4 linked regions of the Elephas maximus indicus genome follow. The protein of the gene in region 1 interacts with the protein of each later gene in a pairwise test. Links are inferred from orthologs where the notes say so. Each region holds a gene or a part of one and is shown in the gene's direction. Other genes may lie near its edges.

Region 1 (7,553 bases):
ATGACCGTATATTCTGGTGGTTTTTCAGAATTTCCCTATATCTTGTTGCAAGGTACCCTTCTTCAGACTTTTGTCACATTATATGCCTTTGTGTCTCCAGAGCTTGACCTGGTCTGTTATACATAGTATGTGTCAATAAATACTTGTCATTTTAGTGGTAGTAATATCACTCACCAGGTTTTCCTTTAATATCACTCATCTGCCCCAAAACCTTCCATAGCTTCTTACTGTCTACGGATGTAGATCTTAACCCTTCTTATGTCACAAACTCTTTGATAAGTTGATTAAAGTTATCTTAAAAGACAAATAAAAAACAGATGGAAACAAAATTTTGCACATATTTTCAAGGGTTCCATGAACCACCGAAATCATCCATGGACCTCTACAGGGGTCTGTGGGCCCCAAATTAAGAATAAGTCACCCAAAAGTGACAAGCCCATATTCCTAAGCCCAATCAAGCATGCTCACATTCATTCTGTCCCATAACACACCAACTTTTAAGCACAGCTATGGGTTTTCACCCCCATGAGTCTGTCAGTTTGTTGTACCGTAGGGGCTTGTGTATTGCAGTGATGCTGGAAGCTATGCCACTGGTATTCAGATACCAGCAGGGTCACCCATGGAGGACAGATTTCAGCTGAGCTTCCAGACTAAGACAGAATAGGAAGAAGGACCCGGCAGTCTACTTCTGAAAAGCATTAGCCAGTGAAAACCTTATGAATAGCAGCAGAACATTGTCTGATATAGTGCCGGAAGATGAGCCCCCCAGGTTGGAAGGCACTCAAAAGATGACTGGGGAAGAGCTGCCCCTTCAAAGTAGAGTCGACCTTAATGACACGGATGGAGTAAAGCTTTCGGGACCTTCATCTGCTGATGTGGCACGACTCAAAATAAGAAGAAACAGCTGCAAACATCCATTAATAATCAGAACATGGAATGTATGAAGTATGAGCCTAGGAAAACTTGAAATTGTTAAAAATGAAATGGAATGCACAAACATTGATATCCTAGGCATTAGTGAGCTGAAATGGACTGGTATTGGCCATTTTGAATCGGACAGTCATTTAGTCTGTTATGCCAGGAATACAACTTGAAGAGGAATGGTGTTGCATTCATCATCAGAAAGAACATTTCAAGATTTATCCTGAAGTACAACGCCGTCAGTGATAGGATAATATCCATACACCTACAAGGAAAACCAGTTAATATGACTATTATTCAAATTTATGCACTAACTACTAAGGCCAAAGATGAAGAAATTGAAGATTTTTATCAGCTTCTGCAATCTGAAATTGATTGAACACGCAATCAGGATGCATTGATAATTACCGGTGATTGGAATGCTAAAGTTGGAAACAAAGAGGAAGGATGTATAGTTGGAAAAGATGGCCTTGGTGATAGAAACAATGCTGGAGATCGAATGATAGAATTTTGCAAGACCAACGACTTCTTCCTTGCAAATACCTTCTTTCACCAACATTAACGGTGACTATTTTTTTTTTTTTATACACATGGACCTTGCTAGATGGAACACGTGGGAATCAAATCAACTATATCTGTGGAAAGAGATTATGGAAATGCTCAATATCATCAGTCAGAACAAGGCCAGGGGCCGACTGTGAAAACGGACCATCAATTGCTTATATGCAAGTTGAAGCTGAAACTGAAGAAAATCAGAGCAAGTCCACGAGAGCCAAAATATGACCTTGTGTATATCGCACTTGAATTTAGAGGCCATCTCAAGAATAGGTTTGACACGTTGAACACTAATGATCAAAGACCAGACGAGTTGTGGAATGACATCAAGGACATCAAACATGAAGAAAGCAAGAGGTCCTTGAAAAGACAGGGAAGAAAGAAAAGACCAAGATAGATGTCAGAGGAGACTCTGAAACTTGCTCTTGAACATCAAGCAGCTAAAGCAAAATGAAGAAATGATGAAGTAAAAGAACTGAACAGAAGATTTCAAAGAGTGGGTCGAGAAGACAAAGTAAAGTATTATGAAGACATTTGCAAAGACCTGGAGACAGAAAACCAAAAGGGAAGAACACGCTCGGTGTTTCTCAAGCTGAAAGAACTGAAGAAAAAATTCAAGCCTCAAGTTGCAATAGTGAAGGATTCTATGGGGAAAATATTAAGTGACGCAGGAAGCATCAAAAGAAGATGGGAGGAATACACAGAGTCATTATACCAAAAAGAATTAGTCGATGTTCAACCATTTCAAGAGCTGGCATATGATCAGGAACCGATGGTACTGAAGGAAGAAGTCTGAGCTGCTCTGAAGGCATTGGCAAAAAACAAGGCTCTAGGAATTGATGGAATATCAACTGAGATGTTTCAACAAATAGATGCTGTGCTGGAAATGCTCACTCGTTTATGCCAAGAAACATGGAAGTCAGCTACCTTGCCAACTGACTGGAATAGATCTATATTTATGCCTATTCCCAAGAAAGGTGATCCAACCGAATGTGGAAATTATAGAACAATATCATTAATATCACATGCAAGCAAAATTCTGCTGAAGAGCATTCAAAAGCCACTGCAACAGTGTATCAACAGGGAACCACCAGAAATTCAGGCTGGATCCAGAAGAGGATGTGGAACCAGGGATATCATTGCTGATGTCAGATGGATCCTGGCTGAAAGCAGAGACTACCAGAAGGATGTTTACCTGTGTTTTATTGACTATGCAAAGGCATTCGACTGTGTGGATCATAACAAACTACGGATAACACTGCGGAGAATGGGAATTCCAGAACACTTGATTGTGCTCATAAGGAACACATACAGAGATCAAGAGGCAGTTGTTCAGTCAGAACAAGGGGATACTGAGTGGTTTAAAGTCAGGAAAGGTGTGTGTCAGGGCTGTATTCTTTTACCATACCTATTCAATCTGTATGCTAAGCAAATAATCCAAGAAGCTGGACTATATGAAGAAGAATGGGGCATCAGGATTGGAGGAAGACTCATTAACCCCCTGCGTTATGCAGGTGGCACAACCTTGCTTGCTGAAAGTGAAGAGGACTTGAAGCCCTCATTAATGAAGATCAAAGTCCACAGCCTTCAGTATGGATTAGACCGCAACGTAAAGAAAACAAAAATCCTCACAACTGGACTAACAAGCAATATCATGATAAATGGAGAAAAGATTGAAGTCAAGAATTTCATTTTACTTGGATCTACGATCAACACTCATGGAAGCAGCAGTCAAGAAATCAGAAGACGCATTGCGTTGGGCAAATCTACTGCAAACAACCTCTTTAAAGTGTTGAAAAGCAAAGATGTCACCTTGAAGACTAAGGGGTGACTGACCCAAGCCATGGTATTTTCAATCACATCATATGCATGTGAAAGCTGGAGAATGAATAAAGAAGACCGAAGAAGAACTGATGCCTTTGAATTGTGGCGTTGGCAGAGAACATTGAATATATAATACTGCCAAAAGAATGAACAAATCTGTCTTGGAAGAAGTACAACCAGAATGATCCTTAAAAGCAAGGATGGCAAGACCGTGTCTTACATACTTTGGAGAAGGACATCGTGCTTGGTAAAGTACAGTGTCAGCGGGAAAGTGGAAAAGACTCAACAAGGTGGACTGACACAGTGGCTGCAACAATGGCCTTCAGCATAGCAACCATTGTAAGGGTGGCACAGGACCTGGCAGTGTTTCGTTCCGTTGTGCATGGGGTCACTATGAGTCGGAACCGACTCCACCGCACCTAACAACAACGCGTTTTCGCTCACAAAATTCTTACCATTGAAGGGACCTTAAAAAAAAAAAAAAGGGACCTTAGCCCTCCTTTAATTCTAGCAAGATCCTTCCCATCCCTCCAGAAGTCTTACTGACCCTTTCTCTTCACCACACACTCTCCCACTTCTGAACTTCTGCAACACCTTTGTGCTAAGCCCCCGGCACTTGGCATATTCTGTTGTATGATGCTATTTTTTACAGGAACATGTTTCGTCTTCCTGACCGGAGGTAAGCTCTGAAGAGCAAGAAACCATTTCTGGCACTTCTTTGCTCCCACTGTCCTGTAGCGGGTGCTACATAAAGGTGCTGCAACAGCCTCTTTGAATCAGTCAAAGAGAAGCAGCGAAGGAGGTGAGTGTAGCTGGTCTAAGAGCTTGGCAAGGATTATCATCCTGGAACGGAACCGCCTTACATTGGGTCACGGATCTGGAAGCAACCAATCTAGTGTTGAACGTGGACTCACAGCTCATTCTTCGAACAGCTGCTACCACTGATACCTTTCCTAGTGTCACCTCGCATCTCTCCCTTTTCCCCTCACCTTTTTTTTTTGTATAAGTTAGTTCTCTCATTCATCCATCGACTCCCACTCATGCATCTGGGGGCGCCCTCGTGTACACTTAGGGCCTCACAGCTTCTCCTTCGCTGTGACACCCGTCCTCCCAGCGCACTTCCCCACTTGTCTTCCTCCAGAAACTGAGCGAGAGTAAAAAGGGAGTTTTCCATCCAGGTACAGGGAGAAGGGCTGGGCCCTGGTCCGGCGCGCCCGCTGCCGCATTCTGCGTGAGTGTGGGTGTGTGTGGGGACGAGGGCTGGGCAGGATGCCGCTGGCCGTAGAGGAGGAAGCCGGCTCCCCTTCTTTGGCCGCCCTTTCCCCACTTCCCTCCCAGCTCGGCTTGGGTCTCTGGGGGAGCCGGGGCGGAGGAGGAAGAGGTCGAGGAGGAGGAGCCGGCGACCTGGAGCCCACCCCCGCGGCCGCTGGCAGCAGAGAGGAAGCGACGGGGCGGCGCGGCCGGGCCATGCTGGGCGGGGGTCCCCCGGGCGCCCCGGGTGGCTGGGCCGGGCGCTGGGAGCGACCCGGCTCCGGGAGCCAAGGCGCAGGTAGGAGAGCGGCGGGCCGGCCCCGGGCGGTTCCCCAAGCGACCCCTCCGCGTGCCCCGTGGCTGGGCCCAAGGAGGGACCCCGGAGGGAAGAGTCGGAGAGCGCGTCGTGACCGCCGAGGGAGTCATGCGGGCCGGGTGCTCCCTGCTAACTCGGGTTCCGTTCAGCCCTCTCGAGGGAGGGTGGGAGGAGAACTTGGTCCCGCGTGCCGCGCCCCGCGCCGGACCAGTATGTGTGCGCTCAGGGCGAAGCGGAGGCCCGGGTACGACGGCGCGTCAGGCCCGCTAGTACCGCGGCGAGGCGTGTCCGACGTGTACAGGGGCGAGTTTGTGTTTCGCTCCTTCACAGGCACCGCCGCGGCCTGAGCGCGCCCTTCGCTGGCGCCCCGCACTCGCCGCTGGCAGACGCGCGCGGCCGGATCCGACGGGCCCTCCTCCGCGCGCACGGGGCGCGCTCTCGCCGGTCCCGCCGGGAACCTGGAGGGAGGAGGTGGGGGTGGAAGGAGGAATGCGGCGCTGGCACCGCCCCAAGGGCCTGCTCTGTCAGTGATTTCACCGCCCACTTCCGATTTCGAGGCGGTAACGCCAGGATCTGAGGTTCTTTCACTGTCCCCCACGCTCCTCCCTCCGCCCGCGTGTGACAGTGTCCGTTTCCACTGTCAACTCTAGTGATAACCCTGAAGTCGTTAAGGTGGATGGTTGCTTTTCAAGAATGACCGGGCTTGTGGACGTCTCACTCTTCAAATAGATGCAAAGGAATTTGAGGATCTCCGGAGATTTAGAGTCAAAAGAGCTGCGTGGTGGTTTTGCTGGATCAGGAAAGAACTTTACACGAGTCATGAGTCACGTAACATCTCTGAGCCTGGGTTTCCTCAGATGTAAAAGGAGAGAGCTAATACCTGCCCTCCGTGGCTCATAGATTGGTGTGTGTGAAAGCACTTTGAATGTATACCTGTTTCACAAATGTCAGTTGGACAGCCAAACCATACCAGACCCATTGCCATCGAGTTGATTCCGACTCATGGTGATCACGTAGGAGCTTGCCCGGTAGTGTTTCCAAGGAGAGGCTAGTGGATTCAAACTGCTGAATTTTTGGCTAGCAGCAGAGCTCTTAACCACTGTGCCACCAGAGCTCCAGTTGGGCAGCACCAATGTCCTAATAACTGGTGTTTGGAGACAGTTTGCCTACATTCCAATCCTGGACTTCCTGTGCCTCAATTTCCTTATTTGTTAAATGGGCACTCTGACCGTACCTCCCTCATAGGGTTTGTGAGGTTTCAATGAAATGACTAGGTGGAACACCTAGCCCAGTGCTGGAGATATACAGTAAGCTCTCAAATAAACAAAAAACAAAACAAAAAAATTTACTTTTACCACACTCAAATAAACAAAACAAAACTCCTAAGCTGTTATTTTTTCTAAAGCAAAATAATTTGAAGTCATGTGGAAATATCAGTTTGAGTCGATTAAAGTATGAATAGCAGGATAGTTGAAAAGCAATTCAGTTTTATCACATTCAGGGGCAGAGGCTGTAAATGCAGTCATTTGGGGGCACTTAATCTTTGCAGAAGTAGACTGTCACATCTTTCTCCCGGGAGCAGCTGGTGGGCTCCAGCAGTTCTACTGTGTCCTATAGGGTCACTAGGAGTCAGAATTGATTCTGTGACAACAGGTTTTTTTGTTTTGAGGTCACGGTTGAGAATCTGTGCCACCAAGCAAAAGAGCCCTGGACAACCAAAAAAGCCAAAGCAAACCCATTGCCATGGAGTTGATTCTAAATCATAGCGACCCTATAGGACAGAGTAGAACTTCCCCATAGGGTTTCCAAGGAGAGGCTAGTGGATTCGAACTGTTGACCTTTTGGTTAGCAGCTGAGCTAGCGCCTCCTTTCTGGGCAGTGTGACCTTGAGCCTCACTTTTCTCATCTGTTTAAAAAAAGATAAAAGAAAAATGGGAATAGTAATTATGGCCTTTTGTACTTAAAGAGGTGCTGTGAGGATCAAATGAGGTAAAAGATCTGAAAGCACCCTGTAGACTGAGTTGCCACACAAATATAAGACATTAGTTTCTAATAGGGAATAACAATACCAAAAAAATCCAAACCCGTTGCTGTTGAGTTGATTCCGACTCATAGCAACCCTATAGGACAGAGTAGAACTGCCCCATATGATTTCCAAGGAGCGCCTGGTGGATTTGAAAGGCCAACCTTTTGGTTAGCAGCTGTAGCTCTTAACCGCTATGCTACCAGGGTTTCCAGGAATAAAAATACCTGCAATTTTTTATAAATTTATAATGTGTTAGGCACTCTATTATGAATTCCTTTGATAACATACTCCCCCAAAATGAGGTGGGTGTTACAATCCTCATTTTCCCTATGGCAAAGCTAAGGTTCACGGTCACCCAGCTTTTTCCCAAGGTCACATAGTTATTAAGTGTAGAGCTAGAATTAGAACTCAGCTGTATTCTCAGTCACTGGCTGCACTGAAGTTATCAGGCTAAGCCATGGTTCATAGCAGGCCTGTGTTAGATTATAGATCATGGTACATCATACTAATACAGACCAGTTGCTGTCATTTGATTCTGACTCATGATGACCCCATGTGTATCAAAGTAGAGTTGTGCTCCATAGGGTTTTCAATGGCTGATTTTTCAGAAGTAGATTGCCAGGCCTTTCTTTCAAGACACCTCTGGGTGAATTTGAACCT
Region 2 (7,602 bases), on another chromosome or scaffold:
TAATCACTGTACCACCAGGGCTTCACTGTGACACCAGGGCCCCTAAAGCCAGTGTTAGTAATGAATTGGTCCAACTACTTTATAGAGCAATTGGACAACAGTGATTTCAAAACCCAGTTCTTTTCTCCTTTAAATTTTTTGTTGGTATTACATGTTTTCACTAATGAAGGCACGTTGATTAAAGGACCAATTCGGAGTTTTTCTTATGAGTTGTGGATTCTGATACCCAGTATCCGGATCACATGTGTCCCAGCAGCCCCTGGATGACGTAAATCCTGATGATATGAGTCAATGATCAAATCAGGTTTTTTTAATTTTTAAAATTTTATTTCTTGAACATTTGTACAACATGAAGGCATCTGGCAATGACTGCACATACATCTTATTCTAGTCTCCTTCTTCTTAGCCTTTTTATTTTTCATGAAACTTTTTTAAAAACACGGTACAAAGCATTCTTCCTTACTGCAAAAGTATACTTACCGCCCAAATAAATAACGCCAAGGGATTTTTTATCTCAGGAAAATTAGCAATACAATGCTTTCTTCATTATTGCAAAAGCAATACATACAGGCAAAATAAATAAAACTCAAGGAATTTGAATCTCAGGAAAATTATCACTTCTATGTATTCTTCATTATAACAAAAGCAGTACTAACAGCTAAGAAGCAGAAACAGCTGCCCTGGAACACTGCAGACCCGTTCACAGTGGTGCATTCTACCCGCTACACATGGAAGTAATGACTGGGCCCTAAGACTGAATGCAGGGTAAGAATAACTTATAGGAGTTCCAATTTCTTGAAAAGTACCACTACCCAGAATTATTCCTTATGGGAAAGGCATTATTTACCGCTCAGAAGCTGGAAAAGAAGGGAGCAAGTAAACCCTGGAAACAATGAATGACATGAAGTGGAAAATGGCCACTAGGACTGAATGAAGCCTGGCAATAGCTTACTCGCACAATAAGTACACTCTCACAGAACATGGTAACTGGGAAACAGTGAGGAGGCCTATCTCACAGACAAAAAAGGCAAACCTGTCAAAAGTTTAGAAAATTCATGTATCTGAGAGGCATCACCTAAGACAATGTTCATTTTACACAAAAATGAGGCTCCCACTCAGGACTTCTGAGCTTCATGCATTTCAAAAGGTTCCCACCCTGAGGCTAAATGTGTTAAAAGAACTCCAGAGGCATAAAAAGTGGACGGGATACCATATGCTTCATGGGTCTTGAAAGGGTCAAGATGCATGTATTCTGACCCAGAGATTCCACTGCTGGAATTTCCACATTGTTTATAATACAGAAAACTGGAAGCAGTCTATACGTCCTTTAACAGAAGAATAGATAAATAAATTGTGGTCTATTCAAACAATAAAGTAGACTCCAAAATTAAAAATCATGAATTGGAGCAATATGTCAACACAGATAAATCTAAAATAAGCATTGAATGAAAAATAGGAAGTTTGCAGAAGAAGGTATACAATATAACATCATTTATAGAGGTTTTTTAAAACATACAAATCAATACTATGTATTGTTTGTGGATGCATACACATAAAGTAAAACTGAAAACATAAATGGAAGGGCTCCATCTGAATCCGATGTGGCAAGATAGTAACAACTGTTGGATTTCAGTGGTGTATACACGGATGTTATGTCATTCTGTACTGTACGTGTCTTGAAGGTTTAAACATTCCTATTTTTTTCTTTTTAATGAAAAGATCTAGGCATTTAGAAATAAGGGTAACGGAGGATAAATGGCTGCATCAATCCTCAGAAAGGATGATCCACTGAGATGGGATTAGGAGAGGGGCTGAGTCCTGGTTCCAGGGATTAGGAGGATTAATTCAGATCATCTCCCTCCCAGCTGATCACCTGGCTAACATCCCCACCACTCCCAGCCCTTCAGAGAGTCATCCCGGGACCACATTTCACCCCACCCCGACACCTGCTAAAACCTTTCCTCCTGCCCCCACCCCCACCCCCACCCTCCACTCAGTACTGTCCTGCCAAGATTTACCCACATTTGGGTTCTGGGGATAGACTGGTTCAGGTCTCCTCTGAATGTTCCCCAAGTTCACGGTGAATGGTGACATGCACCCCAGGACCAAATGAGAGATTAGTCCTGACACTCAGGATCAGAGCTCCCTGAGGAAAGCCTGGGTGTCACAGTTAACTACAGCCTCCCCTGTCCCTCCCTCCACAGTCAAGAGGTCAGCAGTCAAGGCCAACTGCTAGCCAGACCCCACAGGCTGAGCCAGAACCAGGAGCTGTGCCGGAGCAGAAGGGACAACCACTGGCTTCCAGCATTGGCCTCTGTATGCCCAGGTCCTCTATGCCCTCCCCCTGCCTACTGCCGGCCCCTTTCCACCCCCTGACAAGTGTCCCGCTCCTCAAATCCTGACAGGTCTAATGTCTGCAAAGACCCTCCTGAAGAGATTGGGTGGGCTTGCTCAACTGCCTTTCCCCAAGACCAGATCACCTTGGCCACAGGATCTGGGGTGGAATCCTGTCCTCTGGGGAGCAGGTGAAACACCTTTGATGTCTCATTGTTTCTCAGAGTACCAGGCTGGGGGTGGGGTGGGGATAGACAAAAGAGTTAACAGGCAACATTTAACTGCATATCAGTGAAATCATATTTTTAATAATATGCTGTATGGTTGGAAAATTTACCTTTAAGTGTCAGGCATTTTGTCTGGTGCTGGCGACACACAGGTGATGGAGATACTTCCATACCTTCAAGAAATTGGGCAGACAGAAAGGTGAAAACCTGGTCTTGTCAATCCAGAGTGAGTGACTGGTGCTGTGACAGAGGAAGGATGACAGGGACCGTGGGATGGCACAATAGGGGCATCTGTGGGGTTGGGGTGAATGTCAGGGAAGGCTGCCTAGACGTGACTCTGGAACAGAGCACTTAAAGGTAAGTAGGGGGTGTCCAGGTGAAGAAGGGCTTCTTCCATGTAGAACATCATGGTGGAGGGTTGTGAACCTGGGAACCAGTGGGGATGAACACAAACAACATATGCCCATGACCTTGTGAGTGGATATGCAAGAGAAGGGATTGGTGCGTGCCCCGGCTTAGGAATTTCCCAACAATTTTCCAGATATATTGGGAAGCCTTAGTTCCCAAGTCGTTATGGGTTAAATTGTGTCCCCCAAAATGATATGTTGAAGTCCTAATCCCTATACCTGTGAATATGACCCTGTTATGGAAATAGTGTCTTTGAAGGTGTTATCAGTTAGGTTAACATGAGGTCATATTGGAGTTAAAAAAAAAAATTGCAGTGGAGTCAATTCCAACTCACAGGACAGAGCAGAACTGCCCCATAGGGTTTCCAAGCAGCAGCTGGTGGATTCAAACTGCTGACCTTTTGGTTAGCAGCCAAACTCTTAACCACTGTGCCACCAAGGCGCCTACTGGAGTAGGGTGGGTCCTAATCCAACATGATTTATAAAGGAGAAGATACACAGAGACAGGGAGACATGTGACGCTGCAGCTGCAACCAAGGAAATCTTGGAGCTGCCAGGAGCCAGGAGACAGGTCTGGAACAGATCACTTCTCAAAGCTGCAGAAGGAATCAACACTGCCAACACCCTGATCTCGAAGTCCCAACCTCCAGAACTGTGAGATAACGAATGTCTGTTCTTCTACGCCACCCAGTTTGTGGTATCTTGTTAAGGCAGCCCTAGGAAACGAAGGCACAAGTGTCCCCACTTCTTTCGGGCTGAGAACTGCAGAAGTGTGAGGACAAACGCATCGTCAAGATACACGAGCACACGGTGACAGTCTCTGAATGAATGAATGAATGAATAAGTGAAATAAGCCCTCTGGACTTCCAAACCGCCCTTTTACAAGAGTGAAAAACAGCGCCCACTCTGAGCAGGCAGCGGGGCAGCGTGGGATGGGGGTCTCAGCTCGCAGCCCATTGGATGAGGGGCGGGGGGTGGGGAGGCAGGGCAGAGGAGAGAGGAGGTCTTCAGGCGCCTCGGGCTGCGTAGGGTAACCGGAGGGGACCTCTCCTTAAGTGGGCTACTGGCTCAGGCTTGGTAGGGGGTGGCGAGGAAAACCCAGAGGGCCAGGGTCCGGGGACAGTTTCATATCCCAGGCCGTGGCTTCCCTCCTCCTGCCCTCAGGGCTCCGGGGTCGAGAGGCCACGGCGCTGGCCTGGGGCGCCAGAGGCCGGGGTCCGCGCCGACTGTGGGGTGGGGAGCGCCGGCCCTGCGGGTGAGGAGAGAAGGGAGTGTCGTGTTTGCGCGCTAGGAGGAAACAGGCCAGGGGCACTGGTCCATCTGTGTCCTTTCCCATTCCATCACTGCGCGCCCGGACACATGGTGGCAGCGGGGTCCCAGCGCACCGCCCAGTCGGGGCAGGACCCACCCCCAGGACCAGCCTCAAGCGGCCAGTTGCTCCCGTCGGCGATGCGGCCGGCCCCTCCCACTGCCTTCGGTGCCGGCACCAGGAAGGCACCCAGCGGGTCGGGGGTCGCCCCACCCCCGCGCGCCCGCCCGTCCGGGTCCGGGAGCCGGGAGGAAGGCGGGCTTCCGGGCGGCGGCGTCAGGTGGCCGCCAGGCCCCGCCCCTGCCCGCCCTCCCACCGCCTCCTGCGCACCGGCCCCGGTCCCCGGCCTCGCGGTGCGGCGTCTGCTCCGGGCGCGGCGGCGGAGTGGCCATGGAGGCCGGCGCCGGGGCCGGCGCGGGAGCCGCGGGCTGGAGCTGCCCGGGCCCAGGTCAGAACCGCCCGCCCTCACTCCTCACCACCCCCCTTCCTCTTCCCGGTCCCCCTCCCTCTAGGCCCCCAGACCCTCTCTCCCTGCAGGACACCCTGCCTCTCGGCCTCGAGTCTCCCTCCCTCTGCCCCGGCCCCCCACCCAGCCCGGGCCCCATCTTTCCCACTTCGGCCGCGCCCTTCCTGGCAGCCCCTCCCCGGAGCCCTCTCCAGCTCACCTCGCCGGCCTGAGAAGGGGGTCCGACCCTGCACACCCTCCGGCCCCGGAGGCTTCTGAACGCGGGGCGAGGGGGGAGGACGGGATTTGGAAAGAGAATGCAGGGGTGGGGGCGGAGCGGCGCAGTCCAGCCCCGCAACCCCTTCCCACAGCCCCCATCACTTGCCGCCCCTTCCCCGAGCTGCCTCACCATCTCGGCCGCATCCTTACAGGCTCCTGCCCTCTGTCTTGCATCCTGGCCCACCTCCTCCCCGTCCCCTGCCGGCTAAATATACACACACCTTCCTTCTGTCGGAGCTAGGAGAGGAGCCCGGAACAGGGGTGCTGACGAGGCAGGCGGGGGTCCCGTTGGCTGAGAGAGGGGAGTCTCAGAGCTGGGCAGAGGGAGGCAGGGACCTCCACTGGGATTAAAAATCCCAGGGCTGAAGGATTGGAAGGCACGTCACCTTCTCTCCCACCACCCCAGGCCCGCCCCTGGCATCCCCCAGCCCTTCCTCTCTGCCTGTTCACAGGAGCAACAGTAACCACATTAGGCTCCTTTGAAGTATCTGAGGGTTGTGAGAGGAAGAAAGGCCAACGCTGGGGGTCTCTGGAACGTCGGGGGATGCAAGCTATGGAGGGTGAGTTTTCTCAAAAGCTTCCCCCACCCCCATTTTCTTTCCTTCCATCTTCCTCCCTCTGACCCTCAGTGCTCCCAGCCAGGAAACAGTCCTTCGCTCAGTTTATCTCAGCCCCCTCCTCTCTTGTCTGAGCGTACCCTTCCCCAGGGCCCAGGCTTTGAGGGAAGTCCTGGGCTAATCTCTTTGGTGCCCCAGTCCCCATCTAACCAGGTTGTGTGTCCCAGGGGAGCTGCCAGACAGAGAAAGAAGCCTTGTTGGACAGAACGTCAAAGGATCCTTTCAGCAGGGGCTGTTCTCCCTGTCAGATCTAAACCCAAAGCGCCCTTATTTTGAAAAAGCAGGCAAGTGGGCATGTGCACTATCTTCCTGATGCCACCACGGCTCACTTCTGATGAAGCTTGTGGCTTTGGTTCTCTCTGGTATCTTACTGCCTGAAAAGACAGGGCCTAGCAGGGCCAGGTGAGAAGGCCAGCCTCCCACCACCCATCTCCCCACTAAACTCAATGTGACTTGGCAGTGGCTGCCAGCCCATGCCCTTGGAAGGATGCTGGTTTATTTTCCAGGACTTCTGTGAAGTGTCGCCAGGCCCCTGTGCACACTCAGTGTGGGCAACCCTGCTCCCCCCATGGAGGACAGGTGATACAGGGGGCCCCAGGTGAACCTCAGGCTCCTGATATCGGAGAAAATAAGACCAGAGAGTCAGATTCTAAAACAAAGCAAGCAGTTGCCACCCAGGCAAGATTTTGCTATTTGGAGGAACTGCATTGCAGCAAGGAGGGGGGGCTCACCAGCCGGAGGAGGGGACAGACACACCCCAGTTTCTGAATGCATTAAAGGATGGACTTCCTTTTACACTCCAGTCCAGCCTAAGACTTCCCCTGAGAACCACCTTGTGGTCAGCAGGAGGAGAAGCCCCGTGATGCCCTGGTAGGACAGGGGGGACCTCATGCCACCCACAGGGAAAAGGAAGGTAGACTTTGCAGAACACTTCAAAAAAGGCTATTTGATAATATACCTTTGTAAGGGCCCCACTGTTTGTCCAGTGAAACATTTAGAATCATTTTGTGTGATATTTTCTTTCTCTACCTCCTTTCATGTAATGCTTTTTACTATGTATTAAAAAAAAAAAAAAGTTGCCATCAAGTCGACTCTGACTTATAGCAGCCCTGGGTGTGTCGGAGTAGAACTGTGCTTCACAGGGTTTTCAGTGGCTAATTTTTCAGAAGTAGATTGCCAGGCCTTTCTTCCCAGGTACCTCTGGGTGAATTCAAACCACCAACCTTTCAGTTCACAGCTGGATGCGTTAATCATTCGTACATCCCAGAGACTCCTTTCTTACCATGGAAAGGCTAATTTCTCACAAGCCACCTGGTTAATTTTTTAACTTTCCACAAACCCCTAAACTAACCCTTGCACCATTTGGCCTGAAGACGTAGCCAATGTCTGAATTATTTCTTAACTACTTGCCCCACGACCCAGAGGCCAGGACTAGAAGAACCAGGTATCCTTGTGCAAGCTCCATATGGCTGAGCCAGCACCAGCCTGCTCCGTTTGCCTGAAGGTAGTAGTAGGAGACCACCAAGTGTAACATTGGTCCAGAGGGCCTGTGAGGGGGAGGGGCTGCCTCCAAACTTGACCCTCACACCTGAGTTCTCACTGGAGCACAGGCCTGCCCAAGGGCTCCTTGGGGGACACCAGGTGGCACTGTTAAACCATCTGTGTCTTGGGATAATGAGTTCGAGGGCCCTCAAAGGGCTGCAAGTAAGGTGGCTCTGACCCCCTAGTGGGATGGGTGTCTCTCCTAGGGGAGGTGTTACTTCCAGCTCTCTATGAGGAGGAAGAGGAGGAAGAAGAGGTGGAAGAGGAGGTGGAAGAAGAGGAAGAACAAGTGCACAAAGGTGGCAGCATGGGCTCCCTGTCTGTCAGCAAGCACCGGGGCCTGAGCCTCACGGAGACAGAGCTGGAGGAGCTGAGGGCTCAGGTGCTGCAGCTGGTGGCAGAGCTGGAGGAGACAAGGGAACTGGCGGGGCAGCACGAGGAC
Region 3 (7,711 bases), on another chromosome or scaffold:
ATGCCTGATCCAAGCTATGGTATTTTTAATCACCTCATATGCATGTGAAAGCTGGACAATGAATACGGAAAGACGTAAGAAGAACTGATGCCTTTGAATTATGGTGTTGGTGAAGAATATGGAAACCCTCATGGCGTAGTGGCTAAGTGCTATGGCTACTAACTGATCAGCAGTTCGAATCCACCAAGTGCTTCTTGGAAAATCTTTGGGGCAGTTCTACTCTGTCCTGTAGGGTCACTATGAGTCGGAATCGACCCAACGGCAATGGGTTTGGTTTGGTTTTGGCAAAGAATACTGAATATACATGGACTGCCAAAAGAACTAACAAGTCTGTCCTGGAAAAAGTACAGCCAGAATGCTCCTTAGAAGCAAGGATGGCAAGACTCACGTACTTTGGACATGTTATCAGGAGGGACCAGTCCCTGGAGAAGGACAACATGCTTGATAAAGCAGAGGGTCAGTGAAAGAGAAGAAGACCCTCAAGGAGATGGATTAACACAGTGGTTGCAATGATGGGCTCAAACATAGCAATGATTGTGAGGATAGTGCAGGACCAGACGGTGTTTTGTTCTGCTGCAGGGTTCCTATGAGTCAGAAACGGATCGATGGCACCTAACAACAACAACAAATTGAGGTATAGCTTTAATAGGAACTTGGCATCTGACTAAGAATAGCCTTCAGCTTTGAAAGGTCCAGACGGAGTAGTGTAATAAAGGTGACGCATACTGGGATACGACACATCCCAGAAGGCCACTGAAAATATTATTCTACATTTACTCTAAATTACTACTTTCACCTTATGCAAAAATCTATAAACTTCAGTGGGTTGAACATTCTAAAATTAAATTAAATTGGGATTCAGACTATTTATACTTTAGGTAGTCTTTTAAAAAGGAAGCACCTTAAACACTTCAAACAAAATTCTTCCATCTTCATAAAGAGATGCTTTTATTTATTAGAAGCCTGACGGTGCTTGCTCCCAGTCCGAGGCCAGGCGGGGCTGTTTATGTGAGTTTCGCAGTGAAAAGAAGTTGAGGGTGCTTAGTTCCCTAGACCTTGTCTGAGGTCACAAACCCATAGCAAGTGAGGCCATTTTATTGCTGGGAGGGTTCTTGGGGTTTTGTTATCTTGCAGATGAAACAGATGTTTGCAAAATTTCAGGATCCCATTACTCGGACCATCTAAATATGTGTCAAAGAGATCATTTCTGGCACCTTTAGACATGGGCTCAGTTAACAGTAGCAGCCACCATCATGACCCTGTGTACTCACAGGGCACTTACCACTGGACCTCTCTGCCCAGAACCATTCCTACTGGAGGAGGAGAGGCTTGCTGAGAAGAGGGTGACATTCTAAAACTTTTGTGAAAGGCAGACAGGGCTGAGCCTTGGCTGACCAGGAATTCACTCCTTCCCTTTCTAGTTTGAATTCTGTCATCATCACCCAAATGCCTGCAGAGTCAGGGCAGTGAGCTCAAATGCTGTCGGTGACATCAGATCCAAGGCCAGAAATGACACGTGGCAGGAGGAGGTTCTCCTGGCCACTTGCCATCTTCATCACTCTGTCCAGCAGCCAGAGAGCTGCTCTTCTCTAGAAACAAACAGACAAAAAATAGACCAAAGGTGGGAGTGCGGGGAAACAGCTTGTGGCAGGATTTGTCCCCCAGAGCTCTTCAGAAGCCTGCACTAGGGGAGGGCAGAACAGCTGGCTGCATTTCCTCCTGTTATTATCTGCTGTGTCAGCCTGGTGGTGGTGTGCTGTCTGCCCTCCTGGGGGAGCAGCAGGGCCCACCGTTGGATGACTCACCCTCTGACTAGGCAGGCGTGATTTTAAATGTGCATGTGTGTCCCTCTGATGACAGAATCACAGATGTCAGGGTGGGTGCTGGGGACTGGGGGCGGAAAAGTGAACAGGTTGGGATGGAAGTCGGGTAGCAAGAGGAACCAAATGGCAGGAACGCTTGCCGTCAGCAATCCTTAATAACACTGTCATTTACTGATCTGCTGTGTGTCCTCCAGGTGCCCAGCTCCAGACACTGCCTCTCACCTTCGAAACACAACAAAACAGATTTCCATTCTTCAGCTGCAGTAATAGAGACTCTGAGAGGTAGGAGCTTCCATTCTTCAGATGCTGTAAGAGAGACTCTGAGAGGTAGGAGCTAGGAAATAGCAGAGCAATCACATTCCATGCCGGTAGTGTCGCATCACCCATTTAGGGAAAGTGCCCACCTGTTAAACCATTGCTGTCGACTCATGATGACTCCATGTGTGTCAGAGCAGAACTGTGCTCCATAGGGTTTTCAACGGCTGATTTTTTGGAAGTAGGTCACCAGGCCGTTTTCTGGGGCGCCTCTGGGTGGACTTCAACCTCCAACCTTTCAGTTAGCAGCTGTTTGCACCACCCAGGGAACCCGCCCATATGTTAGGGGCTTCCGTTTCCCCAGTATCATCCCTTCCAGGTCTCGTCCTCTGCTCCTATGTGACCCCAAATTTCCACCTTGAATTATAAAACATAGGCCAAGAGACAAATGTCTCCAAAAACTCTTCGTCGGGCCATGTCACCAGTGAAGCTGCCTGGGAGCAGGTCATTCTATGTAGAGGCTGGTCCTGAAGAGCCAGAGATATGGGAATTGGGGTGAGGAGAGGCCATGTCAGAAGTAACTGGGACAGCGCCAGTGGTACCAGCTGTCCAGGGAGGACCAGCAGGGGAGGACAAAACCTGGAGGGAGCAGAAGAGAAAGCCCAGGGAAACCATCCCCACCCTGACAGGAAGCTCCAGGGTGCCCACCAGCCAGCTGAGCTGCAAGGGTCCTGAAGGACTGGCTTCCAGAAGCGGGCGTGATGAGGTCCTGACTTTTTCAAGTTTACACCTCTGATATACGTCAAGCATTAACGTGGCAAATAGGATTAATATGATTTATAATTACAGCTTCACCTTGGGTTTCATGGGGCTTTTTTCCTCCATAAACATAGACTGCTTTTGTATGTAGCTTCTGATTTCCTGCTCACAAAGCCTGCTTTGGGGCATCTATAATTATCTTCATTTTACAGTTGGAGACACTGGCCCCAGAGAGGAGAAGATGGAGCTCTGTGAATCCAAAGCAGTTCCTAGGCCTCTGCTCAGCCAGCCCACTGCTCACAATTACCTTTGAGGATAATTAAGGTCAGCTTTTGCCTCTCCCTGTCCAAGCCTTTCAAACTCACCTGGGCTTTCTACTTACAGAAAGAAAACCTAGATTCCTTCACTTTCTAGCTTTGTGGCTAGTCAACCCCTCAAGCTTGGGTATTTGAGCTGTGAAATTTGGGGCTAATAATGGAGCCCTGGGGGTGCTGTAGAAACCCTGGTTGCATAGTGGTTAAGAGCTATGGCTGCTAACCAAAAGATTGGCAGTTCGAATTCACCAGCCGCTTCTTGGCAACCCTATGGGTCAGTTCTGTTCTATCCTGTAGGGTCGGTAGGGGTCAGAAACCACTTATAGACACCTAACAAGAACAACAATAATGCTTACTCAGCAATGGCACTGTTCAGCAGAAACATAGCTCCAGCTGAGAATGTCAGCCACATAGGTAACTTAAAATTTCCTAGTTGCTATACTTTAAAAAGTTAAACAAGTGAAATTAATGGCAGAAATGTATTTTATTTAATAAACCCATCCCAAATATTACCGTTTTGATATGTAATTAAAATAATCAGTAATGGAATCTTTTACATTCTTATAACTTACTGTCCACTGTCTATGAAACCAGGTGGTATTTTGCACTGACCAAAAATAAAACAACAAAAAACACCGTTGCCGTGGAGTGGATGCTCTCTGACAGCACACCTCAGTTCGGACTGGCCACCTCTCAAGCGCTCACTAGCCCTGGATGACCAGTGGCTGTCCTGTTGGACAGCGTGGATGCCAGGTTTCTGTGAGCATGAGGCGACATCATGCGTGAGGCAGTTACGTGGGCTGACACACATGGCTATTACACCCCTGCCCCTCTTACACACACACACACACACACAGAATTTTCCACATTCAAGTCGCTTTTACAAGGATCCAAGACCCCGAAGCCAACATCTGACAACCCCGCGTCCTGGAGGCCTCGCTGCACCTCCCAAGCACACCATGCTCCTTTTGCATGAAAGCTTTAAAAGCCGCCCCCTCCTAACCCCAGCCTCGGTTCCTGGCTCCAGGGACCCGCCCGCTCTCCAGCCCCATCAGAATGGAAGGGAAACCAGGCGCGGAGTCCAGATCCCCTGGACCCCTTGCAGGGCCCCTTCGAGAGCAAGTGTAGGCCCCACTGAGAAACACAACCCCGGGCCCCGGGTCCCCGGTCTTCAGCCCCTCCGGAGCTAACGCAGGTGGAACTGAAGCTGAGGGGCAGCTGGAGGGCCCGGCGAGGGGCGTTGGCCGCGCCCAGGATGAGGAGGGGGCGGCAGTTCGGGTCCGAGGACCCGGCACCGCCCTTGGGCCATCGAACCGAGATCTGGGCGCCCCTTCGGCCCGCGGGCCGCGCCCCGGCTCCCAGTCGCTGTGCCGCAGTCTGCCCGCGCCCCCGCGCCCTGCCGCGCGCCTGCCGCTCCGGGTGACCTCAGTGCTGGCGGGCGGGCGGGGGCCGGGGCGGGACCGGGGCGGGCACGGACGGGGCCCCACCCCCCCAGCCGGGGTATAAAAGGCGGAGCCCCGGCGACGTGCCTGTCTCTGCGCTCCCCACCCTTCCTCAGCGCAGTCTCGGCTCGTTTTGCAGCCGCACCATGCGTGAAATCGTGCACATCCAGGCGGGCCAGTGCGGCAACCAGATCGGCGCCAAGGTGGGCCTGCGCCGGGGAGGGGGCTGGGGTGGGGGGGACAGAGGATACGGGCCGAGGCGGCGGGGCGAGGCGGGACACCCGAAGGTGCGGGCAGGAGCTTAGGCCAGGGCGCGGGGAGACCGAGGCCCCGAACCCGTAGGACTCCGATGGGCCCAGGAAGCCGCCTAGCCACGGAACCATGTGCCTTTTAAGTAGAGGCCCTTTTAAATTTCCTTCGACCAACCCTTCTGCCGGACATAATTGGCATCCTCCCAGGGAATAGGAGTCTCAGTAATCTGGATAGGGGCTGCGGTCATAGCCAGTGCCCGCAATGAAGAATTGGTGTATTTTTGTCTGCCACTGAATGAAAAAAATGCAATGTCATTGGAGTGACAGATGTTATAGAGGGTTCTCTGTAGGGTCTCACAGAAGAGGATGTTAGGTACATTCTCTCAGCATGGGCGCCATCTAGAAAGGACCGTCTGTACCATGAGGGTCCTGTTTGGTGTCTTCAGAAGACGGGTTGATGTAACGCGGCTGTACATCACCAACCAAGTGGGAACGAGGAGCCGGCCTGGTGCAGGTGTGGGCGCACCTGTGCAAGATCCAGGTCTCCTTCAAGACCGCCATATTGCCCCCTCCCCTCCCCCGCAGCCTCCCGGCCCCTTGCCCCCTCACCCCAGCATCGCCCTCAGGGTGGCCAGCTCCTCCACTCCCCCCCCCCCGCCCCAGGCGTCCTACCTCCCGCCTGCCCTTCTCCCCCAGCCCCGGGTGTGGTCTGTTCCTGTCTGTCAGAGGCATCAGTCTGTGCTGCTCAGGAGGTCTGGGTGGGGTTCCGTGGCAGCCTGGACCAGCTCACCTGGTTGTCATCCTGCCAGGACCACCTATTAGCAGGGACGCCCCGACCTCTAGCCCTGTCTGGGGGGGAGGGGGCAGACCTCCCGCCTGCACTCAAGGCTGCCTCCAGGAGGGGACTGCAGTGCCCACCTCCTCCTGCAGGGCCACTCCCTGCTTTCAGTCTGTCGCCATAATATGGCTGATGTGCTGCTGCGGATTTCCCAGCCCCTCAGCAGCAGCAGCTGCTGGAGGAAAAGGGAGCCTGCAGCTATTTTGTCTCTGCCCAGGACTCACTTGCTACCTGACCACTATGACCCCTGCTTAAGGAGGAGGGAGGGAGAATACAGCCATGCTGAGTGACGTCCAGGAGGCCACACTGTCATGTCATTCCTTTTCCTTCTTTTTATTTCAGTTTTGGGAGGTCATCAGTGATGAGCATGGTATCGACCCCACTGGCAGTTACCATGGCGACAGTGACTTGCAGCTGGAGAGAATCAATGTCTACTACAATGAAGCTGCTGGTAATTGAATTTTTTTTTTTTTTTTTTTTTTGTCTAATCAACCTTGCTTTCCATACTGTGGAAACGTATTTAGAACACACTCTTGCATTCATTTTAATGCCAGCTGCTAAGAAATACACTTTATCATTCCTTAAGACTCCCGTGTATTTGACATGGCTGGACATGCTAAGCATATCCTCTTTGAAAGCAGAAAAACTCTATTCTCCTACTTTTAGCTCAGCTGCTGGAATTTTCTCTGACCAACCCTGATGGGAAAGCCAGATGGATGGGCCACAGCCTTCTCCTGTGATCCCTTTGCTAGCTGCAGCTCTAATTCCAGCTTTTGTCCTGTGCAGGTAACAAATACGTACCTCGGGCCATCCTGGTGGATCTGGAGCCTGGCACCATGGACTCAGTCAGGTCTGGGCCATTTGGCCAGATCTTCAGGCCAGACAACTTCGTCTTTGGTACGTAGCCGTGATCAGTTGGAACTGACTAAATGATTTACCTTCTTCCTAAAACCATGAACACCACAATGCTGAGTGGTATGTGCTCAGGTGGATTGTGTGTCCACAGACATCCTGAGTCTTGGGCTCATCTGTCCAGTTCAAAGTGACTGCTCTCTGGCCACTCTCTATAGCTCAAAGAAAGATTTAGCTTGTGGTGAGCTGCCATAGTCTTCCCATTAAACCTCTGAAGGTTTAAGAATAAAGAAGAATGCAAAAGTTTCAGACAATAATATTTCATAGGCTAGTGGTGATTTCAGAGGACCAATGACAACAGGTAACCATCTAAAGAGACCAAAGCCAAAAAAAAAAAAGAAAAGGTTAGGACCAGAAGTTGAGACAACTGCATAGAAACACTCTCTGCTGTCTGATCATCTTGTGCCTTCGCCCCTGCCTATTTAATTCTATATAACTCAATATTTACATGAGGTCTTTGTCCTCTCTTCTTAAAATTAAAAGCAGCTGGGTTCATTAAACATCTCTGTTTTTTCAACTAATAGCCTCACGTATATGAAACTTGCTTTTTACTTTATTATGATCCCTGGTGTTTCTGAGGGTGAGTGAGAGCATCAAAAACTATTTCTCTAGGTAAAAAGGGGGCATCAAAAAGAACCTGCCACTCAAAGAATAGTCTCACTTTCTCTTCCAAAGTCAAATGACAGAATTCAGAGCTCCTTACATTTTAGTGTCTAATCTTCTGCTTTCCCTCTGGCAGGCCAGAGTGGTGCCGGCAATAACTGGGCAAAGGGCCACTACACAGAGGGAGCAGAGCTGGTGGACTCCGTGCTGGATGTGGTGAGGAAGGAGTCTGAGAGCTGTGACTGTCTCCAGGGCTTCCAGCTGACCCACTCGCTGGGGGGTGGCACGGGGTCCGGGATGGGCACGCTGCTCATCAGCAAGATCAGGGAGGAGTACCCCGACCGCATCATGAACACCTTCAGCGTTATGCCTTCTCCCAAGGTGTCAGACACCGTGGTGGAACCCTACAATGCCACCCTCTCTGTCCACCAGCTGGTGGAGAACACCGATGAAACCTACTCTATCGACAATGAGGCCCTGTATGATATATGTTTCCGCACCCTGAAACTGACCA
Region 4 (7,973 bases), on another chromosome or scaffold:
AGAAGCATAAAAAGCAGTTCCTAAGAGAGGATTTCAGGGTGCTGCCTATCTACACAACAGCGGTTTCCAGATGTGCCAGTCTAGCACAGTGGTTCCCAACAGCGGTTTCCAGATGTGCCAATCTAGCACGGTGGTTCCCAACAGTGGTTTCCAGATGCGCCAATCTAGCACGGTGGTTCCCAACAGCGGTTTCCAGATGTGCCAAACTAGCACGGTGGTTCTCAACAGCGGTCCCTCCTGAATCTCAAGAGAACTCATCACCCTTCCTCTGATAGCTTTACTTTTATTATCTGCTCATTTACAAAATATATTTTTCCTTAAGAGTCCAAGATTTCTTAAATCAGGCACTCCCCTGCCAGTACCTGTGTGTAAATGCTTACTTAATTTTCCAATTCACTATAGGATCTTGGAATGGTGTTGTGCTGGGTGGGTTGAGGAGATGGGATGGTCCTTATTCCACAGATCGGGAATATCTAATATCTGGTCCAGTTACTATTCAACATAAGGCCATTTAACAAAGTATAATCCAGAAAAATAAAAACATAACTTGCACTTACATTTTTGAATTAGCACCTTATCTTCTCATATTGTACTACTGGAGAACAACGAGCCCAATAGTATTACAGAATAGAGCCAACTCCCTTTACTCTGATTTAATCACGTGACATGGGAACTGTAGGTGGAGGTTGGGAGTAGGGAGATAAACGATTGAGGAATTTTTGTTACTTTCTACCACACTCCTCTCCCTCCTTTCCATTCGACTTAACCACGGCAGTCTTCTCCACCTACTGGAGTCCCTGGGTGGTGCAAATGGTTAACCTGCTCAGCTGCTAACTGAAAGGCTGACGGTCTGAGTCCACCCAGAGGCACCTAGTAAGAAAGGCCTGGTGATCTACTTCCAAAATCAGCTATTAAAAACCCTATGGAGCAGTTCTACTCTGACACACATGGGGTTACCATGATTCAAAAGTGATTCAATGGCAATTGATTTTTTCTCTACCTACTATTATTGCGGAAACCCTGGTGGCATAGTGGTTAAGAGCTATGCTTGCTAACCAAAAGGTTAGCAGTTCGAATCTACCAGGCGCTCCTTGGGAACTCTATGGGGCAGTTCTACTCTGTCCTATGGCGTCACTATGAGTCAGAAATGAGTCGATGGCAACGGGTTTGGTTTTTTGGTTTACTATTATTGCAGTTTGTAAATGCTTATTTAATTTTCGAATTCACTATAGTATCTTGGAGACATTGCTGGTTCAGTGGTAGACTTCTTCCCTTTAATGGGGGAGACCTGCCTTGATTCTGGGCCAACGCACCTATTGTGGAGCTACCACCCATCTGTCAGCAGAGGCTTTCATGTTGTTATGATGCTGAACACGTTTCAGTGGAGCTCCTAGACTCAGATGGACTAGGAAAAAAGGTCTGGCAATTTAATTCCAAAAATCAGCCAAAGAAAGCCCTGTGGAGCACAGTTCTACTCTGACACTCATGGGGTGGCCGTGCAGCTAACAGCAACAGGCATCTTGAAGAATCCATTGTTTGCTTCAGTATAAAATATGAATTGTAATGTGATTAAATATTTACCAGTATGTTCAGAATCAAGAAAAGATAATTTTCATAAAATGTATCATATTTATAATGTACAAAAATGGAAGAAAATTATTTTGTAAAATACCATATCTTATCATGTGTGGATATGTGTATTCCTGCTCGTCTACTTAAAAACTCCCCTTAATTCTTTGGAGCTAAGAAAAGCATCGACAGCACTGGGTTTTTTTTAAGAAAAGCAAAGACAGCTTTTCTAATGTTGTCTTTGAAACATTCTATGTAAAGTTCACCGTTTAGGGGCAAGAAAACCTTCATGTTTATCAATTAGAAAAAAGAGAGTTCACCAAAAACAAAAAACACTGTGATTCCATAGTGAAGTATTTTAAGAATTTTCAAGTTCACCCACCTTCCTTCTTTGAGGAAGGACAAAAATGAATCAAGACTCATTACTGACCAGGGTACAGCCCTGGTCTAGAGGCCTAAGTGCTTCCTTGAGGTTCTCAACTCTTTTCTTCAATCCAGAATTTTCATTTTAAAATCACAGTACAGAGAGTTGTAAATCTATCAAACCACTTCAGTGAGAGGTAGCCTGATTTTGTGGGGAGCCCTCTCCATTTCAAATGTGAACATCTCATCCCCTCCCATAATCTGGAGCAGGAGCATCAGCAAAGTGAAGCTAGTAAGAATACTCTGCAGTGGTTGTAGACAGGATTTATATGTCACAACTGGCCTAAGTGAATCCTAGCCCCCTTACTTACTAGCTGTATGACTCTGGGCCACTTTTAACCTTTCTGGTCACCATGAATCAGAATTGACTGGACAACAATCTGTTTGGTTTTTTTTTGGGGGGGGCGAGGGAGCCTTAATTTGGTTCCTGGGTGGTGCAAATGGTTGTCAACTAACCCAAAGTTTGGCAATTTAAACCCACCCAGCAGCATTGTGGAAGGCATGAAAACCCAAAAGAGCAGTTCTACTCTGTAACACGTGGGGTTGCCATAAGTTGGGATGGACTTGATGGCAACAGGTTCGGTTTGGTTGAGTTTTTGGGCTTTAGTTTTCATACCTATAAAATAGGTATAATAGTAGTAATTACTTCACACAGTTGCTGTGAGGATTAAATAATACCTGTAAGAGCCCTGGTGGCGCAGTGGTTAAGAGTTCGGTTGCAAATCAAGAGGCTGGCAGTTCATATCCACCAGCGGCTCCTTGGAAACCCTTTGGGGCAGTTCTACTCTGTCCTATAGGGTAGCTGAGTTGGAATTAACTGGACAGCAATGGGCACCAAATTAGCATTCAATATATTTACTTATTTCTGTAAATTGGGAGAGAACCTCTAAGGTAGCTCTTCAGCTTGTGTCACAAAGAGACAAAAAGTCTGGTTATGAGCAACCTGACCTTTCAGTTTCTGCAGTGGCTTATTATATCATCTGGATCTACAGGGACGGTCCAACACAGCAGCCACTAGACACATGTGGCTACTGAGCACTTGCCTGGTCGGAATTAAGATGTGCTTTAAGTGCAAAAGACTGAATTTCGAAGATTTAGGAAAAAAAAAAAAAAACTTCAGCTTTTATATTGATTACTTATTGATATGTTTTGGCTATACTGTGTTAAATGAAATATAAAAAAACCAAAACCAAACCCAGTGCCGTCGAGTTGATTCCGACTCGTAGGGACCCTATAAGACAGAGTAGAACTGCCCCACAGAGTTTCCAAGAAGCGCGTGGAGGATTCGAACTGCCGACCTTTTGGTTAGCAGCTGTAGCACTTAACCACTACACCACCCAGGGTTTCCAAATGAAATATACTACTATATTAATTTCACGTTTTTCTTCCCACTTTTTAAAAATGTGGACACCAGAAATTTAAAGTTACCTAAGTGGTTCGCATTGTATTTGCATTGGATAGAATTGATGAGGCACCTTGGTACCCATAACAGGACTGGCAGCTCCTAGGAGGAGGTTCTCAGGCCTGTCCCCAGACAATAGGTCTCTGCACTTTGACAAAATCCCCAGGTGATTCTTCCGCATTGCTCCGGGGTATTCGGCTGTTTGGCTGGATGAAGAGAGCAAATCTGGCCCTAAAGCCACCTTCCTTTCGGTAATTGATTATAGAAGGGGTACAGGGGAAAGAAGAGTTAGGGAGAAAAAGCAAGGGAGATACATGCAACCTGGGAGATAGACGAAACCTGGGAGATAAGTAGAAGGGGAGAGAGATGCAAACGGAGATAAAACCTACAATTAAAAACCCATACAGGGCCAGTAAGGACCCCAGTGGCGCAGTGGTTAAAGCGCTCGCTGCTAACTGAAAGGTTGGCGGTGCGACCCCACCAGCCGGGCGGGAGAAAGACGTGGTGGTCTGCTTCCGTAAAGATTACAGCCTTGGAAACCCCTATGGCGCAGTTCTGCTCTGTCCTGCAGGGTCGCTAGGAGTTGGAATGCACTCGACCGCCATGGGTTCGGTTTCCTGGTATTTTAACGCGCCAGGAAACTGTCCGCCAAGTTTTATCCGCTCCTGTGCGGCCTCGGCTAAGCTAGGCCTGGACGTGAGCACGTCTGAGGTGGGGATGCGACGCGAACCACCACCCGCCCAGAGCTGGCGGTTCCGCTCGGTGTCCTTCCACCTTTCCCCCAAAGCCCTGACACCCAAGACACACATCGCCTTTCCCGAGGCTCACCTGTCTCCGGGCGGCCCCAAAGCCCTGCAGCTTAGCCACCGCCACCTTCAAGCCCTTCCGCAGAGAGCCCGCCCCTTCGCTCCACGCTGCTGCTCCTATTGGTCTGTTAACTCGTCACTCCTGCAGGGCTGGGCACGACCTCCGGAGGTTGCGCAGAACGCCATAGCAACCGGATTCGGAACTACATCTCCCGGCATGCCCGCGCGGGGGCGGAGCCAGGCCCCTCACTAGGGGCTACCAATAAACGGGGGAGGTTTTATGCAAATTTATGTTTAAAGACCACACCCTTCCTCAGTCCCACCGTATTCCTGACCACTTTCCGTAACTAAGTTAGTTGAACGCACCCTATCTAGTATCTGGAAAGGCAATGACAGATGCACTGAAATCGTGGATCTAAACTCCATAAGCCCCGACACAGAAATCACAGACCAGAAACCTCCGGTTACGACTTCGCGGAGGAGGTGGGGGTGGGGAGGCAAGAGACCTACGCCCGCCCCATTCGCGCATGTTGATTGGCTTATTCGGCTGTCACTCCGTCCTCCTCCACCCTTTCGGCTCCTCCTCCTTCGGGCCCGCGGTGGGCGGAGCTAGCGATAGGGGGCGGTGCGGAGGGTTAGGCCCGTTCTTCTGATTGGCAGGCTGTTTGTCCCCGCCCGCTTATGGGCGGGGACGGAGGGTGGGTGGGGCGGGAGAGGCAGCCGAGGGATGTGAGGAGATAGGCGGGAGAAAGGAGCGAGGGAGCGAGGGAGGGAGCGAAGGAGGTAGAGAGCAGCGGCGGGCCAGGGGAGGGAGCGCAGCTTGGTTGCTCCGTAGTACGGCGGCTCGCGAGGGAGAATCCCGAGCGGGCTCCGGGATCGACGGAGAGGCGGGCGGGGATGGTGAGCGGTGCTGCGGCTGGTCAGCGCCTGCCCGCGGCGTGTGCGCTGCACTGATTGCCCGGCGCGGCCGCGCGGATCCGCCTGGAGATGAGGTGAGGAGCAGGCGGGCGGAGGGCGGCGGCCTGGGCGGGGGTCGCGGGGTCGGCGCCATGGCCGCCCGGGGCGCCCTCCCGCGGGCCGGCGCGCGTCCCTGGGGCCGCCCTGCAGCGCCGCCGCGCGCCTCGCCCTTCCATCCTCCCGGGCGGCGGCCGGGCCGGCGTGGGCTTGCGGGGCGCCTCCAGCGCGAGGCCCCCTCGGCGGCCGGCGGTCCTTCCAGGGCTGACCCGGGCGCCCTCGGCCGCCGGAGCGCGGGGGCCGGCCCAGCCTCGCCCCTCGCCGGCGCCGCCTCCCCGCGCCCACGGCGCGTCTCCCGTTGGCGGCGCCGGCTGCCTGCATGATCCGCCGGTGAAGGGCGCTCAATGCCGCGCGGCCGAGCCCGACTGCCGGGCCGCCCAGGGGCGCCGCATCGAGCGCGGCCCCTCCGCAGCCCCGGCCGCCGCGCCTCCCCGCGCAGCCCTCGCTCCGGGTGGGCGCCAGGCCGGGAGGAGACGCCGCGCAGCCCCGGGAAGGGGGCCGCGGGGAGAGGCTGCATCTCGGCTGCCGTTTGCCCGGGGCGCGAAGACGGTTCGCAGGTGACGTTTCTTGCGGGCGTCTTCTGTGTTGGCATTCGGACCGAGGAAGCGTCTGCTTTTGGAGAACAGATGAGTGGCTTCTCCTTGGGGTTGGAGGCAATGGAGGTTTTTGATAGCCTCTTAAATATGAGAAGTTTCCTTTAGAAGTTTGCCATCGTCGGTGCTGCACCGATCCGAAATTTTAAATACATGCAGGCTTTTCTGGCCAGATGCGTTTCTTTGTGCGATTATCTATTGGCATCCTCCCCTAAAGGATTTTCGTGGACGAAACATGCAAATAATAAAAATCGAGGGCAGCAAAAAGCACAGATCCTAAAAACAAGTACAATAACAAGCAAATGTCATCTGGAAAATTTTCAGTTCTGTTAGCAGGGAGGCAGTTTTACTAGTGCCGTGGCACCTCTGAAGAAACATGCCGAGAGATCTGGTTACGGATTTCCTAGTGGACGGGGTCTGAGGGCAGGTCAGCCGGTTTGCGTGGTGCGCTCTTAACCCCTAAAATGTGCTGCATGCGTCTGCCTGGGTATCTTTATTTTTAGATGATTTTAAGGTTGAGAGTGCAGAAGCTTAAACAGCTCAAAGTTATCTGAGAACAAGATACTGTGTAAGAAGAGACACTTTTTGTGATTTTTAGTTTTTTTTTTTTTTGGCTGGTCTTGAAATGCGTTGTTTTTGATGAGTGTTTGCTTATCACTAAGACATCTTTAAAAAAAAATTAAAGTTCTTTCAGCGTTAAAATTATTTCAGCCACCTTTAAGTGATTCCAGTAAGGGGCATTTCTGACAGTAGGTTAAAAAAAATTGGTATTTGTCTAAAGAATGTATCTCTTGAAATTGCCGAGGCACGTGGTACCTTCGCAAAACTATTATTATTCTGCCTGAGTAAGAGAGGAAATGAACACATTTTTAATGTACTTTGGAACCCCGTGGATTGTTCAGATAGATACTCGGCATTGTGAAATAGGGCATAAAATGACTGGTAGCAAGCTAGTTCCTTGAAAAGTTTTTCACTCTTAGCATATTTATTCTCTGTTGGCTGGCAATTTCTTTCTTAATGCTTATCTCTAATATTGGTATAGAACTCTGCATGTGTTCACCATTTCCCCAAATGCCTGGGTAGAGACAAACTCTCAAAACTCGTGTAGGAAATTAAGAAGAAAGTGATGGTAAATTCCTCTAGTCTTAGCCATCTTTTTAATTTGTTAAATTTGTGAATTATAGAGAATGAATTATACGAGGGTTGGGTTTACCTTACTCAGCTCAAATCCCCCTGCGTAGCACTGTCTTGAGCCTTTTGCATGTGATCATTCCCTTCTGAAGGGCTCCATCACTGGCTGGTTGGGTTTCTCAAATTCTGGACCTCAGATCACAGACATCAACAATGACTGAGGGTTATTGTTTCTGTCAGCTCATCTCAGAGTTAGATTGCCTGGGCGTGGGACTCCAGCATTGGTATTTTCAACAAGTTCTCTAGGGCTCTTTCCTGTGTGGTAAAGTTGGAGAACAACTGGTATTGTGCTTCCTTGTCACTGAGTGTCTCCTGGATTGTATGCAGTTCTTTATGACGACATCTTTAAGTGGATAGCAAGATTTTCAAATGCTAGGATGTTTTACCATAGGCTGCTCATGAAAGCCTATTGATCGTGACCTTCACCTGTGTAATATACCTGTCCTCCAAGTTTCAGAAGGGCTGAGACTTTGGCTTACCACTGTGTCCTCAGGGCCTAGAATAGTGCCTGGAGGAAAGAGATCAAATATTTGTTGAGTAAACGAGTGACCTGCATTGCATTGAGACCAAATTTGAAAATCTTGTGAAATTAACCTTGTCACTTAGTTTCGTTGTTGTTAGGTGCCATCAAGTCAGTTCCGACTCATAGCGACCCTGTGCACAACAGAACGAAACACTGCCCAGTTCTGAGCCATCCCCACAATCGTTGTTACGCTTGAGCTCCTTGTTGCAGCCACTTGTGTCAATCCACCTCTTTGAGGGTCTTCCTCTTTTCCGCTGACCCTGTACTCTGCCAAGTGTGATGTCCTTCTCCAGGAGCTGATCCCTCCTGACAACATGTCCAAAGTATGTAAGACGCAGTCTCGCCATCCTTGCTTCTAAGGAGTATTCTGGTTGTACTTTTTCTAAGACAGATTTGTTCGTACTTTTGGCAGTCCATGGTATATTCAATATTCTTTGTCAACACCACAATTC

What was found.
Region 2: the proteins of DISC1 (region 1) and CCDC136 interact in a two-hybrid assay, tested with the Homo sapiens proteins (2 studies listed by BioGRID and IntAct). The link is inferred for Elephas maximus indicus from reciprocal best matches to the Homo sapiens genes DISC1 and CCDC136.
Region 3: the proteins of DISC1 (region 1) and tubulin beta-2A chain interact in a two-hybrid assay, tested with the Homo sapiens proteins (2 studies listed by BioGRID and IntAct). The link is inferred for Elephas maximus indicus from reciprocal best matches to the Homo sapiens genes DISC1 and TUBB2A.
Region 4: the proteins of DISC1 (region 1) and ITSN1 interact in binary tests that used the Homo sapiens proteins (3 or more experiments, as listed by UniProt). The link is inferred for Elephas maximus indicus from reciprocal best matches to the Homo sapiens genes DISC1 and ITSN1.

Annotation. Positions count from the first base shown.
Region 1 is NC_064842.1:32,964,912-32,972,464, reverse strand, and holds the start of DISC1 (disrupted in schizophrenia 1 protein), read left to right. Parts: upstream 1-4,541; 5' UTR 4,542-4,569; coding exon 4,570-4,849; intron 4,850-7,553. UniProt on the Homo sapiens protein: Involved in the regulation of multiple aspects of embryonic and adult neurogenesis. Required for neural progenitor proliferation in the ventrical/subventrical zone during embryonic brain development and in the adult dentate gyrus of the hippocampus.
Region 2 is NC_064826.1:21,273,122-21,280,723, reverse strand, and holds the start of CCDC136 (coiled-coil domain-containing protein 136), read left to right. Parts: upstream 1-4,595; 5' UTR 4,596-4,667; coding exon 4,668-4,725; intron 4,726-5,453; coding exon 5,454-5,561; intron 5,562-7,366; coding exon 7,367-7,602. UniProt on the Homo sapiens protein: May play a role in acrosome formation in spermatogenesis and in fertilization.
Region 3 is NC_064819.1:43,839,679-43,847,389, reverse strand, and holds the start of tubulin beta-2A chain, read left to right. Parts: upstream 1-4,699; 5' UTR 4,700-4,739; coding exon 4,740-4,796; intron 4,797-6,024; coding exon 6,025-6,133; intron 6,134-6,468; coding exon 6,469-6,579; intron 6,580-7,333; coding exon 7,334-7,711. UniProt on the Homo sapiens protein: Tubulin is the major constituent of microtubules, a cylinder consisting of laterally associated linear protofilaments composed of alpha- and beta-tubulin heterodimers.
Region 4 is NC_064836.1:27,968,551-27,976,523, reverse strand, and holds the start of ITSN1 (intersectin-1), read left to right. Parts: upstream 1-4,957; 5' UTR 4,958-5,192; intron 5,193-7,973. UniProt on the Homo sapiens protein: Adapter protein that provides a link between the endocytic membrane traffic and the actin assembly machinery. Acts as a guanine nucleotide exchange factor (GEF) for CDC42, and thereby stimulates actin nucleation mediated by WASL and the ARP2/3 complex.